Drosophila melanogaster: one gene and its partners. The protein of the gene in region 2 interacts with the protein of the main gene of each other region in a pairwise test. Each region holds a gene or a part of one and is shown on either strand. Other genes may lie near its edges.

What was found.
Region 1: the proteins of mdlc (region 2) and Tao interact in a two-hybrid assay, tested with the Drosophila melanogaster proteins (one large-scale study listed by BioGRID).
Region 3: the proteins of mdlc (region 2) and gudu interact in a two-hybrid assay, tested with the Drosophila melanogaster proteins (one large-scale study listed by BioGRID).

Annotation. Positions count from the first base shown.
Region 1 is NC_004354.4:19,576,067-19,582,373, forward strand, and holds the start of Tao (Tao), read right to left. Parts: upstream 3,735-6,307; 5' UTR 3,332-3,734; intron 2,437-3,331; exon of another isoform or gene 1,836-2,436; intron 1,529-1,835; 5' UTR 1,429-1,528; coding exon 1,199-1,428; intron 1,134-1,198; coding exon 629-1,133; intron 330-628; coding exon 1-329. Other genes in the region: CG14218 (uncharacterized protein), read right to left, coding at 4,480-4,868, 4,930-5,593. UniProt on the Drosophila melanogaster protein: Serine/threonine-protein kinase which regulates the Hippo/SWH (Sav/Wts/Hpo) signaling pathway, a signaling pathway that plays a pivotal role in organ size control and tumor suppression by restricting proliferation and promoting apoptosis.
Region 2 is NT_033777.3:20,055,053-20,060,517, forward strand, and holds mdlc (midlife crisis), read left to right. Parts: upstream 1-2,695; 5' UTR 2,696-2,801; coding exon 2,802-2,907; intron 2,908-2,965; coding exon 2,966-3,692; intron 3,693-3,759; coding exon 3,760-4,000; 3' UTR 4,001-4,239; downstream 4,240-5,465. Other genes in the region: CG4390 (uncharacterized protein), read right to left, coding at 1,459-2,322, 4,515-4,643.
Region 3 is NT_033779.5:7,386,044-7,392,136, reverse strand, and holds gudu (gudu), read right to left. Parts: upstream 3,630-6,093; 5' UTR 3,462-3,629; coding exon 2,845-3,461; intron 2,763-2,844; coding exon 1,511-2,762; intron 1,450-1,510; coding exon 1,309-1,449; 3' UTR 1,235-1,308; downstream 1-1,234. Other genes in the region: CG5160 (uncharacterized protein), read left to right, coding at 1-61, 118-276, 339-491, 634-1,062; CG5149 (uncharacterized protein), read left to right, coding at 4,034-4,162, 5,489-5,713, 5,955-6,093. UniProt on the Drosophila melanogaster protein: Important for spermatogenesis where it may have a role in sperm individualization.

The DNA.
Region 1 (6,307 bases), on a different chromosome or scaffold from region 2:
GAGTGTATGGAGTGTTCCGAAGTAATACTATTGCTCTTGCTGCTGTCGCCGCCGGCATGGTCGTCCTGTTGGTCGTCGGTGTCGCCCACGGCGCTCTCCGTCTCGCAGGTGTCCACCATGAGTATCTTCTTCATCTTGCGGTAATTGAGGTTGTCCAGCTCGCGCACCGCTGACTTGGTGCGCGCGATCAGCTCCAGCAGCACGGTGTCGGAACGCGGTCGGGTCACGTAGGCGTGGGTCAACAGCTTGGCCGACGAGGGTCGCTCTGCTGGCATCTTCTTGAGGCACAGTTCAACAAAGCTGCAAAACGCATCCGACCAGTCGTTCTTCTGTCGGGTTGAAATCGAATAGGTTTGATAATTGTTTATAACATTCAAATTGCACTTACTTAGTTTACTTTAAAATTGCTTTACAAAGTTCTGAATCATAAACACTTTTTTAAGCAGAATCTGGAGGCTCTACTATACAAATGGGTAAAATATAACTTGCCCCAGCCCCAAAAGTGGGAAATAAAACAATAACACTAGGGACACATGAGAGCGATACGTAAATAAATACATTGGCATACTTCAGTTTTGCTATCAAAACAGACTCCTACCAAGAAATTAAAACTTCGATTGCTACTCACCGGAAGAGTCGGCGACTCATTCTGCGCAATGTGGTAGAGCGCCGACATGGCGTTCATGTTAAAGTAGGGAGGCTTGCGCTCTGCCAGTTCGATGCAGGTGATGCCCAGCGACCACACGTCCACCTTGCCGTCGTATTGGCCCTCGTCCATGGCCAGGATCACCTCGGGCGCCATCCAATAGGGCGTGCCGACAAAACTGTTGGCCGGACACTTGATGGCAGCGCTACCGAAATCGGCCAGCTTGACGACGCCGTTGTCCGTGAGCAGGATGTTGCCCGCCTTGATGTCACGGTGGATGCGGCCCAGCGAGTGCAGATAGCTCAACCCACTGAGCACGCCCAGACAGATGGCGGCGATCTCGTCCTCGTGCAGCGGCTTCTTGTGCACCTCGATGATGTCCGAGGCGGAGCCCACGCAGTACTCCATCACCAGCCAGGCGGTTGATTCGCGCAAATAGCATCCCTTGTATTCTATGGTGTTCGGGTGGTTCAATTGGCGAAGGAAGCTGTTGTGTACACATAAATTGATTAGAAGTCACTCGGGCGAACGCAAGTGTCAGCCAGTGCTCACCGTATCTCTTTGAGAATATCCTGCCACTTCTCCTGGCTCTGCTTGCCGGTGTACGACATCTTTTTGATGGCCACGATCTCCCTGGTGAGGTTGCATCGCGCATAATAGACCGCGCCGAAAGACCCATGGCCGATTTCGCGCAGGTCCTCGAAGATTTTCTCCGGGTCATGCTTGTTGAATAGGTCGGCTATTTCCGGATCCTTGAGACTACCAGGTCGTGCCGAAGGCATGGCTGTCTTTCATGCTCTAGCCCAGCTCTCTCAGTGGTCGACCTGCGTGCTTCTCCTCGCAGCTTGCAGCTCCAGCTGGCTACTCTGCTGTCTTGAAGTTCTGTGCGGATCGGGTGGGGCGAAAAAAAGGCGATTCCGGTTAGTCAGTCACATTCACAGCCTGCGCCAGTCACTTAGTCATGTTCAAAGGGTCGACATTTTTGGGGGATTTCAGGCTGAAACGCTGAGACTGCGGACCAATTGAATTGGGCGGCACGGGGCGTAGCGGGAATGGCTGGGCCAGTGGACAGTGGGCACTGTGCTTTGGTCAGCATTTGCATGGGGAGACGGTCAAACGGACGGACGGATGGGAACAGCTAAAAGCCGACTATCATCAAATCGATCAAGTGATTCATGCTCGCACATACTGTACGAATCATTCAAAACTCCGAATTCCGCACGCAGCACGGCCTTATCGCAAATATATTCACTGTTGGCACCGTCTTTTATGGCCAGGCTATTTTCCTCAGCTTGTTACCAACTTGTCAGCTGCTTTTTGGCCAGATTACGACAGCTGGGGTGTAAGTGGTCTAGGGCATTTGGCAGTCGGTATGACTAACGCCGTTAAGTTCATTTGCTTGGATTTCGAACAAGTAATGAGTGGAGTGGATGCGCACGTGCAGTAGGGCGGTATTTGTGGTCAAGCTGGACTAACTAGCTAGGTGTAGGGTATGCACACGTGCTGCAGGGTAATCAAAGGTCGTTACGACTGACACACAAACACACGCGAGCTGCCAAGGAGTAACGGCACCAAAGGGGTGCATTTATCGCCGTTGCGAATCCAAATACACACACACACATGCATACATTGGAGTATGCATGTCTGTGCATGCGGAGGCGTTTTGCGGGCGTCTGCGGATATCCGCCGGCTAAAGACGCGGATTTTGGCCCCCGTCGGAGCTCCGGCTTTCGCCTATCGCCGCCTGGCAAAAATTCTCAATACAATTAGTCCGCTGTGGTGCGGCGACTGCAATTCTTTGCCTGCGACGCGAAACAGAAACACGCCTATTTTTCATAGCCACCACACTATTGCACAAAGAGCAGCCATGTCGCTCACACACACTCACGCGCGCGCTCTATATGTATATGTGCGGTGGGATTGCTTGTTGTTTTGCATTTCGGGCGACACAAATTCAATTCAATTCGTGCCTTTTCCGTGGCTTGCACTGTGCTGTGGCGCTCCGTCACAGGGAATTGTAGTAGAATACCAAAGAGTTCTGCGATTCGAATTGATTTTCAGTTGGGTTGGCTTTTCCTTGGGTGCGGACTAGGCACACACCGAAGGAGCCGAAAAAGAACGCACGAAGGCGGTGATGCTGCGCCAGTTGTTGGTTTTCTTCGTTGACTGACCACTTATTGACTGATTACCATGGTTGATCTATGTGTTGCGATTAAAATTGGCTTATTTCGCTGCATTTTGCAACTGTTTTGAATCGCCTAATTTTGTTTTGCTTGCACACACACACACTCACGCTCGTCGGGGGAGCAGACAAATACACACACATTCGTATGGTTCGACTGGTGCTATCCCGTTCTCGCGCGTTGAGGGAGTCGTCGCACCGAAATCAGATGTAGCACTCAGAACCCGCAAATGCGCTGTATTTGATTGAAATTTGTGGGATCAATGATAATACCACATTGTTAATTCAATGGGCAGATGGCACACAAGAAATTCGCATTTATTGGCCAAAACGCAAACGCGAAAAAGAACAGTATGCACATACACACACGTACACGAGCATACGCATTCACACACACAGGCACACACGCACACAGGGATGGAGAGACAGTGGAAAATGCATAAATCTGGCGAGGCGAAAAAGAAAAAACGTTTGAACTTTTTCCACTGCGTTCGAGGGCTTACATTTGGCAATCAATTAGTGCTTGCTTGTTTATCGGCGCAACTGGGTCTCGCTTTTCGCATCTGTATGCATTTTTCCCTTTCATACGTCGCTTTCCCTACGACCGCTGCTGCTGTTATTGGCCCTGCTGCGACTGGGAACGGGAATCGGAATGGGACTGGTAGTGGTAGTGATACTGCTACTGGGAATGGCAACTATTGCCCTGCACTGCACACGCGTTGCGTTCACGAATCCGCACTGGCTACACATCTCGAGTGCCAAGCACCGAATTCGGGGGATCGTTACGTCGCAGATGCACCCATCTACGGCATGGAAAATTGGCAGCGATTGTCTATTTGCAACTTTTCTTCACCCGTTTCTCTAATTAAATTCCGTAAAGTTCACGTTCACACAGCACACAGTGTTACCAGATCAGCCGAGCGGCTTGAAACCAAAAACTACCACTGACCGCTTTTTACTAAAAAATCCCGATTTTAGGCGATATATTTAAAATTAACTTATTTTTTTCAATATGTTTGCGAAGTTAACTCTTGCAGAGGCGTTTTTATAGTTGAATTCGCTCAATTCAATTAGTTTTAAGAGAAAAGGTTCGTTTTTTGGTCTCTATCGATAGTCTATCGAACGTGCACCGGGTGGTGATGTCCGTGGTTACGCTATCGTTTTGGAATTATTAGTTTTTTTTTTTAATGTTTGAAAATCAATAATTTAACTTATACAGAATTCTGCAGAATTACAGCTCACGAAATCGCAGTTGGGTATCTATGTTAGAAGAACACATATATGTATCAAATTTTTAATAACTTTTTAATAGCTCAGTTCGCTAAGTCAAATACCGATACTCATCGCAACAAGTTTGGCGCACTTTTTGAAAACATACTGATAATTTCATGATACGGTATTTACTTAGCTATTTAACGCCCTCCTAGTTAATATAAATTACGGGGAACTTACATTATTACTTTATTTGATATGTTATTTACAACTATGCAAACTGGGAATACAAAAAAATGGATGCTTATATTTAAAATAGTTTATGTTCAATTTTAAGCACACTGCAACACATAAGCTATACATATGTACATACACATAATATATCAAGCTGCGAAGTTAATTTTATTGCCCACGTTGGAAAAATGAGAAACTCTACCGCTTAATTATAGAAGTACTGCTGCTGATTGAAAGTTGGGAAGCGATTCGTGTTGCCAAGCTCGAGGGGCGGGAAGTAGCCTTGGGATGATGCGGGAATACCAGAAGCACCCGCTGAACCCTGATCCTGACCCCCATCCTGACCCGCATCCTGAGCCCGCTGTCCAGCAAACGGCTGCCCAAAGTCGTCATCGCTCTCGTAGTTGACCAAAAATCGCGAAGCACTTGGTGGGGGAGAAGCAGGTTGGGAGTCAGGCCCATCTGCAGTGACAGGAAATGCAGCCGCATCCGGATCGGCAACTGAGTCCGGGTCCTGGGAGTCAACTAAGTCTCCGCTGTCTGGGTCAGCCGCCGCCGTCGCCTCCGCCACGGCTCGCGACCTAAAGAAGGTATCTGCAAAGTGTCGGAGAGAACCCAATTGTACGGCAGTTAGTTAAGAGGTTTCGTATTTTACCAGTAGGTTGTGCGTACTGATAGATAAGGCGGTCGCCCAGCTGGGCGGGACGCCGCTGTTGAGGATCGGGCTGCTGGGGTCGTGGGCGCGGCCGTGGCCTTGGGCGTGGCGGAGCTGTGGGCGGCGGCGGAGGAGGTGGAGGCGGTGGAGGTTCAGCTGGCGCCGCTGGCTGCGCATCATAGTCATAGTCGTAGTCATAGTTCGGCGGAGGAGGCGGTGCCAGTGTCGTTGGGCGTGGACGTGGTCGCACCTGCGGTCGGACGCGTCTAGGTGGCTGTGTAGTGGGCGGCGCAGGCGCTGGAGGTCGTGGTGCCGGAGGATCAGCGTAGTCCACATCGAAGGCCCCGGGCAGGAAACCGGAACTGAAGAACGGATGCCAGATGGGCTTACGAATGCGTATCGGAGCAGGTGGTGGTGGCGGAGGCGGCGTCGTCGTGGTGGTCGTCGGTGGACGACGTGTGGTCCGCGCCAGATTGGCCTTAGCCGAGGACAGCTGGGCGCTCTTGAGCAGCAGGTTACGCAGGAGCAGGCCAAAGTCCAGGGTGATGGTGCCTCGCTTTTCTCGCGCCACCTCCGTGTCCTGCGGCCCAGGATCGGCTGAGATCAGCGCCAGGAGCAGGCCCACCAACAGCAGGGCCATCAACTGCAGACGTAACATCCTCATCCTGACGGATCAAAGAGTATGTGTGTACCGCTCGAAAGGCCGTTCCAATCAGAACTGGCGCTGGTCAGCGCTGGAGTCGCCTGCCTGTACTCCAACGGAGTGGTGCCACGCGGGCCTGGGCGTCGCGGATTAAGTGCCCCCCCAAAGTCAACTAGTTAGACGGGTTAGCTGCGACCGTCCGCCTGGATCTCGTAATCGCAGACCCCGCCGACTGCCGGCGGTTATCAACGAGTTCAGTGCGTGGCAACAATTACTTTTGCACTACTTTTGCGCCAGTTTATAGATCGTAAGTGCAGCTCGAACTATGCATAATGCTTAGCGGCGAGTGCATTTTAAGAGGCTAAACAACACGCACCGTGGGACTAGAACTCCATATACCCACCTATATATATACCATACATACACATAGCATATACCATATAGTAGAGCTGCCTCCAACATAAGGGATTGATATACACAAGGGAACTAACTATCTGCAAGCTCATTAAGTATCTATACTATTTAGATTGTTCTGTGTCGAGTACGAATCTACATGTTTTAAAACCCTAACAAAATATCAATAATTCACAGATAAGTTTCCCATAAGATAGGGAAATCATTCATAGATTGCTTGTTTTATAATTGTAAACTCAAGTGGTTATATACCATATACAAACGTATGTATGTACATACTACCAATTTCACTTGAACTTGTGTCAAATCTCATTCCTCAAA
Region 2 (5,465 bases):
CTCTTTCTTGACAGCCAAGGAACAGAAAGGAACGTTTTCGTAGCTGCCAAAAGCATTTTGCAACCTCTTTTGAAAGATCAAGTTCATGGCTTTTTGCCTTTGAGTCCCACCAATCCCATCCGCCAAAGAAGTGTTCGAAATTTAAATGAAGCTCTGGTAATGAGAAACCAAGACTGTTTTTCTTTAAGCTTAATTCTAGCCCAAAAGTACGATTGCCCCAAAAGTAATAATGGAAAATTTATAATGAGTGAAATAACAATTCTAAGTCTAAGAAGAGCCCAAAGCAGTTCTGCAAAGTCCCTTTGATAATAAAACCATAAAATTCAATAGCCAAATCATAATATGCAAATGATGGCCAGTGAAAAAAACAAGGCTTAAATACTTTAAATAAGTTTGAAGCCCAGCACCCGTGGCAGAATCGACAAACTTGATGGATGGCGAAGGGATACGGAGCGTGAACTTGACTCTGAACTGTGAAAAATGGAGTGCTGATGGAAGTGTAAAAATGCCAGCATGCAGTAAAACGTCGGCCATAAAACATGTCGTACAGTTGCACATAAAAATTGGGGAAGGTGCTACCAATACCACACCTGACTAGCTGACTCGCTGACAGAATGTCAAGATCTGAGCTCGGTTTGAAATTGATTTACATGGGCCATATGGCTAAGGGCTTACCATGGGGCTTTGTTGTGTGCCAACTGCCATTAAATGGCTAATTAAGATTTCAGTCCGCTGGCAGTCGTCCAGCAGCTGGCCGCAAATCTCACGCCTTTTCAAATCCCTTTTTTTGGTACCCGATTTTCCGACCCGTTGGTATATAAAACACAAAAGCGCGCGAAGTTACACAAACAAAGGGGGGTCCAAAAAACAGGACTATCTCGCGCACACACGCAGTCACGCAAATACAGAGCTGGCGACTCCGATTGGTCCTAGTAAATATGGCGCCAAACGAGTCGAGAATGTCGCCTTTTGGTACCTCCGTTCGGTTCGGTTCCCTCTGTCACTAGCACATCTATTCCATCAGACGGCGTTTTTTCTACTGATGAATGAATCGTACGCAGGATGCCAGGATGCGGAAAGTTTCCAGCATGCCGTGGACCAACAACCGGAAAGCTTTTACTACGTTGCGAGCTTTTACCCTTACCACAAGTCCGGGAAAAAGTCCTTAGGAATTCGACGAATGCTGAATACCCATTACTTAAGTTTTTGTTTGTGAAAGGAAATTGCTGAACTTAAAACCGAAATAACAAAGTACACGCCATTTGTGTATAATCTTCTGTACATTGGCACCTAGAATGAATAAAAATATTTGTTTTTCAAAGTCCAAGTTCAAAGTTTAAAGTCAAGAATGTAAGAATACATTTTAGAAGCTCAGTCGAAATTGGTTTATTTACTGCCAAATTTACGTTGAATTATGGTTTCGGTGGAAACCAACGATTATGTACAAGCGGAATATCATCAAGCGGAAGCTGTGAGCAGGGCGGCATGGTAGGCGATGTGTTCGGCGACGAACGTGGCGATGTAGAAGTAGCTGTGATCGTATCCCTCGCGCTGCTTGAAGATGGTCTGGATGTGATCATTGCCATCTGCGGCAGCCAGCAGGTTCTCCGGCAGCAGCTGCTTGCCGGCCAGGAAGTTGTCTGCTGCACCTTGGTCGATGAAGAGCTCCTGCGGAGTGCTCTCGTACTGCGACACCAGATGCGTGGCATCCCACAGGGCCCAGTCATCCGGATTGGAGCCCAGATAGCCGGCAAAGGCCTTCTTGCCCCACGGGCACTCGGTGGGATTGGCAATCGGCGCAAAAGCGGACACCGACTGGTACAGCCCGGGATTCTTAAGCGCGCAGATCAGGGCTCCGTGGCCGCCCATACTGTGGCCGAATATACCGCGTTTACCGGGAACCACGGGCAGATTGGCATTGACCACATCCACCAGCTCCTGGGTCACATAGCTGTACATCTTGTAGTGCTTCGACCACGGCTCCTCCTTTGCATCCACATAGAATCCAGCCCCGCTTCCAAAGTCGTATGCATCATCTTGGCCGGCAATTTCCACGCCCCTGGGCGAAGTGTCCGGATTGACGACGATCAGGTTGTGGCGGGCGGCGTGCTGCTGGAATCCGCTCTTCTGGATGAAGTTCTCATGCGTGCAGGTCAGTCCGCTGAGGAAGAACAGCACCGGACACGGTTTACCCTCCAAAGCGGCCGGCGGCAGGAAGACGCCAAAGGTCATGTCGCACTTCAAGGTGTCCGAGCGATGGCGATACACGCGTTGCTCGCCCTCGAAGCACTTATTTGCGGACAGCTGTTCGAGCGTCATGTTCTGGGGGTGAAACGGAGTAAATAATTTGTAAGCTAAAACTGAAATCCATTAATTTTTAAAAACGCACTTGTTTTTTGACGATCTAAAAATAACAAGCGATAAGAAAACAGTGTGACCGCGTGTAGAGCGCCAAAAGTGGGAAGCTTTCAGAACATCTTGGTATCGATGATTAAAAGGGTAGATCCCATAGGAGTTAATATTTTCTAGAATTCTTTAAATTAATATAAATCTATTAATTATTACATATTGATGATGTATTAAATATGTAAAAATTGCAATTATTACAAACGAATATATTCCTCATAAGTAAACATTGAATTTTAATGTGCCCGTTTCATACAAAAATACTAACTCCATAACGATTGTTACGCAAGTACCATCACTAGCCGGGAAGAAGAAGCGCCAGTTGGCGAAATTGCTATTGTTAATTGTTGTTAACGTGAATTACTAGATAAGTACATAAATTTAAAAGCCGGAGAATGTCGGAAGAAGCGGCTAGCACCTCGTCCTTTGGCTTCAAGAAGCGGAACCTCAAGAAGGGAGCTGGAATTCGTCGCAAAAAGGAAACCAGCAGTGATGAATCTGGTAGGAACTTAATTTTACCGCCAACAAAGTAAATGGGCAAATATTATTGATATTCCAGCAAAAAGCAGCGATGAAGAGACCAAAGGCAAAGCCAGTGCTCTGGTGCGAGCCGAGAACCGCCGAAAGCGCACGAATCCCAACTTCCAGAGCACCAAGACAATGAGCAAAGCAAAGAGACAGGCGGGAGGAGTTGGTGATGATGGCTCATCCTCAGCCTCCGACGATGATAAACTGGGCATTGCGTACAAATCCAAACGCGAGGCGCTGCCCAGTGGACCCCAAGATCAGGGAGCTACATCGATTAACGAAATGGACACAGAATTGGATCGCGATGCGCAGGCAATTCATGCGCGAGCTCTGAAAATCAACGAAGAGCTGGAGGGCAAGGCGGACGATAAGATCTATCGCGGAATTAACAACTATGCGCAGTACTACAAGAAGCAGGATACAGCGGCAGGGAATGCCAGCTCCGGAATGGTACGAAGTGGCCCAATTAGGGCTCCTGCCCATCTTAGGGCCACTGTCAGGTGGGATTATCAGCCGGATATATGCAAGGATTACAAGGAAACAGGATATTGCGGCTTTGGCGACAGCTGTAAGTTTCTGCACGATCGCAGTGATTACAAAGCGGGCTGGCAATTGGAAATGGATCACGAAAATCAGCGAACGGGTGATGTAGACTCCGATGGCGATGATACCAAGTATGAGATTCACTCCGATGAAGAAACACTGCCTTTCAAGTGCCACATCTGCCGACAGAGTTTTGTCAATCCCGTGGTAACAAAGTATGAAGATGATAACGATTTCTAAACTGGATTTACTGAATAAATAACATATTTATCTTTCTTCCAGGTGCAAGCACTATTTCTGTGAAAAGTGCGCCTTGGCCCAGTACAAAAAGTCACAGCGCTGCATCATCTGTTCCCAGCAAACAAATGGTATTTTCAATCCCGCCAAAGAGCTGATAGCTCGCCTCAAGACAAACCCAATGGAAAACTCAGATAGTGATGAGGAGGAGGAATTTGGGAAAAAGGAGGATAAAGCGGAAGCAGGGGAGGAAGCTCAGGAGATTTCTTCGGATGATAGTGATTAAAATATTTTTTTAAATCATTTATACAGGTTGTGAAAGTAAATAGGGACATTGATTAGATGCTTCACATAAAATCCATTTTACAGCACATTTGCCGCATAAGTGTAGAAAGTAAAGTAAGGATTGTACCACCGATAGGTGGCGTGTAAGAAATTGTAAAACCCTTTGCCCCAAAGAGAATTGCTGATAAATCACTATTCTTACTTGTAACTAGAAAAATATATTTTGATAAGTTTTCAACCAAGAAATACTAGTTCTGTGGTATTTATTAAAATTTTTACTTATTTTTGGGCGATCTATTACGATTGGTTAACATACAAATTATGCACAGCAGTTCATCTGTAAGTTGTTTTAACACGTATATATGTATGTATTCATTATTATTTATAATTCATACTAAAATTTGATACATAGGGACGGGACTGGAAAGTTAATCGTGAAAAGCATTTTATAAAATTAATCACAACGAGGATTTTATATTAATGTTTAGTCCGCAGGACCTAAAAGCCTTACTCACCTCGGTCATAATGTGGCCAAAACTGAGCACAATGCTCCGTCGCTTGGGAAGATTTGAACAGGCGACTATGGAATATACGAATGAGCTTCTACCACTCACACTGGGCAGACGAAGGAAATTTCTTCCCATTCCCAAGGGAGCTGCAATAACTTTGTGATTTCGATCGAGTATTGCTTGACGTTTGAAACGATCAAAGGCCAACTTTGACCAAATTTAAACTTGGCAAGCAACTGAAACTACTGCCTTCTTGAAGCGGCAAAATTTTGGCCCAATCTTATAGCCATAATTTAATTGTCAGCACTTTCATTTCCCGTTTCGCTCGCATCAGAAAGCACAGGCACAGAAAGTAGGGGAATTGGAAGCTGGGAAACGTAGTAAAGCGGGCCAAACTTATACGGAAGTGAATTCGTTTGACTTTTGCCCGCTAAAATCAAAACCTCCTGCCAAACTTCTAGGCCGCATTGTTTCACAGCACAAAGCCGAAATATTGGCCAGTGGTAACGAATCGATGCTTAGCCACAAATTCCAAAATCCATCCGGCTTCTCTGCCCACCCTTTTTCCCTAGCTCCGAGCATGCAAAATATGAGCACATAAGCCTTTAAAAGCAGCCCAGCTGCCCAGGATGAGCAAAAAGGATAAAACTTCTATTTTCCAGGATCCTAGCTGCCACAATGTCGAGCCGATTTTATTGGAGGGGTTTATGCAGAAGGTTTGCCTGTTCCTCTGGTTACGCATAATACTTTTACCTCGTTTGTATACACCATTCACATTTCTTTAAGACAGCCACTATTCAGATGCTGGTAATTGCTGCAGTAGGGAAATTTGCCTCTGCTGTGGATTTTTCCAAGGATAACAATCATCAAGCTGGCTCACGGCTATTAGGTCACGTTCGCATTTTCTCACATTTTATGTGCCACTCACTTATTGGCAGTGCAATGGTTAATTGAATG
Region 3 (6,093 bases), on a different chromosome or scaffold from region 2:
AACCACGCTGGACAAGGAGCAGATTCAGTTTGACATTCTGGACGCCACCGGTCAGCTACAAGTGGGTTTTAAATTGCATTTTTCATTTTGCAAGACATTAAAGACCATTTCATGTAGGAACTAGATGGAGTTAGTCTGGAGTCCAACATCCGCTGGGCCGACGCATTTATACTAATGTACTCCATTACGGACAAGTGTTCCTTCGACGAGTGCAGTCGCCTAAAGTTCCTCATCAATTACAATAAACGAAGACGCAAGTTGGGCTCGGCCAGTAAAGTTAGTAAATTACTTAATTTTGAACCACCTATAGGAAGCTTATTTATATACCATATTTCCAGGAATACGCACTGGATATTCCTGTCATACTGGTGGGCAATAAGACAGATCAGCCGGGCGATCGAATGGTCAGCTTGGAAGAGGGTCAGCGCCGATTCAGGGAGTTATCCTGCTCCTGTTTTCACGAGATTTCCGTCAGAGAGAGCGTGGATCAAGTAAGAGGAAAAATTTTCTTACAAAAGATTTCTTTATTAAGGTGAAGTGAAATTAAACTTTTGTCTGATAAATTAATCTTCCATTTACCATCACATGGCACCTTATAAATATACGATTTGTTTATTCACTCATTCCAACCAGGTGCAGAATGTTTTTCGCGATGTGTTTCGCTTCTGGCGAGTCTTCAGCAAATTCCCCAAGCTCAAGCGCTCCACCAGCGATGTGGCCAATACGGATGGAATCCTCACGCCCGATTCGGGATCCTGTTCCTTCTACGATGCCTCGTCTTTGGGCGTCGGTCGACATTCCTTTCTGGTCATCGGAAGCGCCTGTTTGGAGGAGAGCAACGGTGACCATACGGAGTCTACGGATGAGATTACGAGTAGCAGTTTGAGCAGCTCACGCAGCGACATCGATGCTCCCTTCCGTAGTAGAGCTTCGACGGACGGCACCCTGTTGTCCCGACCACGTAGATGGCGGTATCCACCGCCGGGATGCCTGCTGCCACACACGAATCGCGTGGAGCGACGGATGAGCATTTCCACCAGGGGCAGTAATGCCAGTTACTAGAGTGGAATTTTATGCAGGGTGGGTCGAGCTTAGTTAGTCAAAATATGTAGCGACAAATATATAATTATATAGCTAGATGTTATTGTCATGGAAAATGAAACATATTTTTCTGGGATTTCTGGTTTAAAAATTTACTAACTTATTAATTTATTTGCTAAAAATGCAAGAAATTGGTAGCATCGGCATACACACATATATTTCGTCAAATACAATTAAATAACTTAACAAAGAAAAAAAAACAGGAAGCTAGTCATCGTCGATTTTAAGCAGATATTCCTCGGCACGCAAGGCCAATTCGCGGATATTGCGCAGACAACCAGCGGCGGCCAACTGGAGCTCCTTGTTAGTGGATCCAATGCACTCCAGCAGGAAAGGAACAACTCCACTCTGAAGTAAAATAAAAGAATCTAAATGAGTTGCTAAGTGTGATTAGGTAGAAGAAATGTACCTGGTGCATGGTAATGCAGTTCTGCGGATCCATCGATAGCTTCTCCAGTGCCATGGCCGTGCTGCGGTGCACCAAGGGATTGTCGCTGGTCATGTAGGTGACAATCGGAGTGACAGTACGCAGACGTCCCAGTTCCTCCGTATTATTACCGAAGCAGGCACAGGCGGCCACGGCAGCTGCCAAGTTCATTCGAAGGAGGTCGTCGGTGGTCTGGACGAGATCGGCTAGCTTGTAGATGACTTTCAGATCGGTTAAGATGGCTAGATTGGTTTGATCCTGGGCAATTGTTGCAATGGCAGCACAAACGGCGGATAAGACCATGATATCCTTGGACTTTAGCAGACCCACCACCAGTTCCATGGCGCCAACCAAGCTCCTGACCAATTCAGCGGAATCGTTGGCATTTCGAACACAGGGACATATGGCGTAAGCCGCATGGGCCTGAACCCTAGTTGTGGGGTTCTTCAATAGCGACCATATCAGCCTGACCGCATCCAGATCCTCAAGGATTCTCATGCTGTCCGGATCTTCGGCACACTCCTTCAATCCCTTGGCTAAATTTTCCAGAAGAGGGGCGTGAGAACTGTTGAGTAGGGAAACCATTGCTGGTAATCCTCCAGCCTGACGCAGTTGCTCCCTATTGCTTTGAAATCTCACACATTCAGATATAGCTCCGGTCACGTTGGTCAGGACCTCGTCACACTCATCATTTAGCAAGGCCACCAGGTGGTTCACCGTCCTGAGTTGATCCAGCACTTTGACATTTGCATCGGTTACGGCACACATCCAAATCGCTCCAGTGGCGCCTCTCAATAAAGGCTTATTTTCCCTCACATTCTTGTCCTTTATGATAGTTACCAAAGGTTCCAAGCCCCCAGCCTCCCTCACCAAATCCCTGGTGGTTCCGTCGAAGGCGCACTTGTAGATCGCTGTACTGCCCTCCATCTTCAGCTCGGTATTTTCGGAACTCAGATGGCTCACAATGTCGGGAATCATGCCCTCGGTGGTGATGGCCAGTTGGAACTTCGGCTCCGAGGAGCACTTTCGAACGGTGCCCATTATGGGAATGACGACATCGATGTGACAGGACTTAAGGAGCTGAGCCATCAAAGGAACAATTCCGCTCTTGCGCATCTGCTCCATGTTGTGCTTGGAATCGGCCAGAGTGAAAAGAGCCCGGGCTCCAGCGCGTGTCATATCGAGAGATTCCAGATCATCTGGACTCAATTGGTCACGAGGCGTCTTTAGAATGCTATAATATAATTAGGTTTTTTTTTAATTATTTCTTATATGTGGTGATGTAGTATGAAGCACTTTATCCAATGCCAACTCACCTCAACTTGATGTCGATGAGATCCACCAGCTTGGGGATTCCTCCGCAGGTGCGCACATACTTTCTGGCCAGTCGCACCTTGCACACATTGGCCAATGTCTCGGCGGCCATGGTTTTTAGGTCCTTCATGGAAGAGTTTAGGATGTCCACAATGAGGGGAATGCCATCCAGATCTACGATGGTCTTCCTAATATCGATGTTCAGTGTGATATCTGAGAGAACTTTGAGGGCGCCCAAACAGCACTTGGTGTCGCTGCACTCCAGGATGTTAACCAAGACATCGAGTCCGCCGATGTCCGAGATGGCGAACTGATTGATCTGGGTGCTCAGATCGTAGTCCTTCAAGCAGCACAACGATACTATAGTGGCTGTCTGATTGCCCGCCTTGATGTATTTCACCAGTTTTTGGATATTATAATAGTCAGCCGGAATCTCAGCGGCTCGCGCCACTTCCTTCCAGCGTTCCTCCTCATCCGTAGACGATTCCACCTCCGTGGTATCCGAGTCCTCGGCGGCCACCTGGCGCTTATCCTTTGAGAATCTGTTGGGACAGGATCCGCACTGTTCTTTCTTCTTTCGACTCCGATTGTGGGACGTTCCGCTGCTAGTGCCAATCATCCTTTCGCGTTGGATTACTCACAGATTTGGCCAATCGTATTCCGGAAATATCTGTCGGTATGCCAGCTTTCTTCAGTTTTGTATCGGAATTTATTGTGTTTTTGTGTGGGAGAACTTTATTAGGCCAGGCAATTGATTTAATAAGGCGTGTTGCTAAGGTAACTGAGATAATTTCAAAAATACCGGGCTAGGGCAAAGGTATCTTAGCTCAAACTTGTAAGTTTTTTTTTATTTTAATAAATTTTTAACTACAGCTATCCAAGGCATTTAAAATTTATTTTATTCGCTTGGCCTTCGTTGAATTCGCTTAGCGGTTAAAATTAACCGTTTAGCAAATACATCGACCTGACTTAGCACAGACAATAACCATTCATAGTGCAGACGACCACCGCGAAATTTACCCGTTTCCGAAACTATCGAGGGTATCGCAGGGAAATCGACTGCCATTCCATCACCAGCTTGTGTTGTTTGTTTTTTATTTTCAATTAAAATCCGCGATCATCCGCAGCTGCAGCTGCATTGTTTGTTTACCAGCCGTCGTAGCACCAGCCAACTGAATTTCGTGTCCTGAGATGGGAAATGCGAGTGGCAAGCGGGAGACGGATAATCTCTACAATTCGGAAGAGCTACGCATGCTGGAATCCGCGTACAAAAACGCCTCTGGCGGAGCACTTGAGAAGTTGACCCAAGACAGATTGGTGGTAAGTCAAGTAAATCCAGTTACCGTGCCACGTGTGCACTGCGAAAATCAATGGCAACTGCATTCTGCATTTGCGGAAGGGTCAGGGTCACAAGTTCAAGGACGCGCGGAGTGAACTTTCTTCGGCAAAAAAAGAGAAATCGGGACTTTCGAGTGCATGACAAACGGCCGTCCATCCACCTGCTGCGATGGCCACCCTTCACTTGAATGGGTATATCCTTTAGGGCATTAATTTGTTGTTGTCACTAACTCCTATTTCGAGGATTAAACATTGAAGTTAATCATAGTACTATGTTCCGAAAAAGAAGCTTAGTTATATAAGAGAGTGAGTCGCAACATTATCCGGCATTATACAAAAGTTCAAAGTTTCTAAACCTTATTTTAATACAGTTCTTTTTCGATTTAAAGTGCAAACCAGGAAATTTAACAGAGTTTATAAAAAGTAAATTATTCAACTTGTTTAAAAATGTAATTTTCTAAACTAGTCAGTCCTATTTAGATTAAATGTACACGTAACTTTCCAAAATTGTTATTTTAACCCATTTAGTTAAATCAATCTGATCATACACAATTTATGCTATAATTTTTCCGATGCGGGTTCAAGGCCCCAGATTTGTGTTTTATTTTTATCACAGCACAGATGACGGAAATGCAACCACTCAAAAAATGTTTGTTTGTAACCAGATGATGATTTTTCCTTATAATATTTCCATCTATTTATAGCTCGTGTTTGATTATCACAGCGCTTCCTAGGGTATAGCAAAATTCGATATCTTCAACTCGGGCGTTATCAGTTTCGAATTGATAATTCCTGGGCCAGTGCGAACGTGTCCATAATTTGTCTAATTTGTTTGCTGCCGCATTTCACTGTTTGTCTTTTGCTTTGTTGAATTTGCTTGCTAACGAATTAGTCGTGATTTCAATGACTGGGGTCGTCAATTAGGGCCAAACCCAATTGAATTAAAAATAAACCATATGCTTAACCCGTTTACAGCATGGCATGTGAAATAGTTGATTTTTAGAATGAGGAAATTATAAGACTTGCATTCATATAGAGTAATTTAAGCGGAAACTCTCTAAATTGAAACTTTACATACATTGAAGTAGTATTTATTTTCATAAAACTTGAGAGACTTTGTTTTCAGTCAAACCAAATTATTATTCATTGTACGTCCTTCAATGGGTTAATCTGTGTCAGCGCTTCCCAGACCTTCGTTCCCTGCAAGAATTTGCTGACAGCAGCGGGAAAATTATGTTTACGTATCCGGCGCGCATTTTGTTTATGTACACACATATACATGTATCTGTTGTTTTGTTTCGAAAATAGGAAACTTGGTCGCAAACCATCGAAAGATCCCTGGCCGAAAGTACGGCTCAGTATCTATTTACGCCCACGAAGCCAGGTCAGCAATGTGTCAACCTTCAGCTGAAGAAATTTGGAGAGCCCTACTACATCATGGAACGCGGTACTATTGACCAGAAAATGCAAATGCTCCTGGGCTCAATGGAGAGAAGTGGAAATGACACCTTCAACAGCAAGCAATTGGAGCAAGTGAGTCTATAAATAAGTAGTCATTGTCATCAGATCGCGGAAATAATATTTATAACTTCTGTCAGCCGAGCCTCATTAGGATTCATAACATGTTTGTTATTGAATTAGGTTTAGCTCTCCATTTATGTTTATCCTGAAAACTAGATTTCCACGTTTATTTTCTTAGCTGTCATATGAACAACTTGTTTATTTAATTCTTTTATCTTTTGCTCGCGAATTAATCAATTTTATAATTCCCCAGTATATCTACTCGGTGATCAAGAGCTACGTGCACTTGGAAAGTACAGCGAAAAACTCTGGCATCAAGGAGTGGCACGATCTTGGCTTTAACACCACGGAAAGGTCCGCCGCCACATTTGCCAAGGGCCTTATGAGAAATC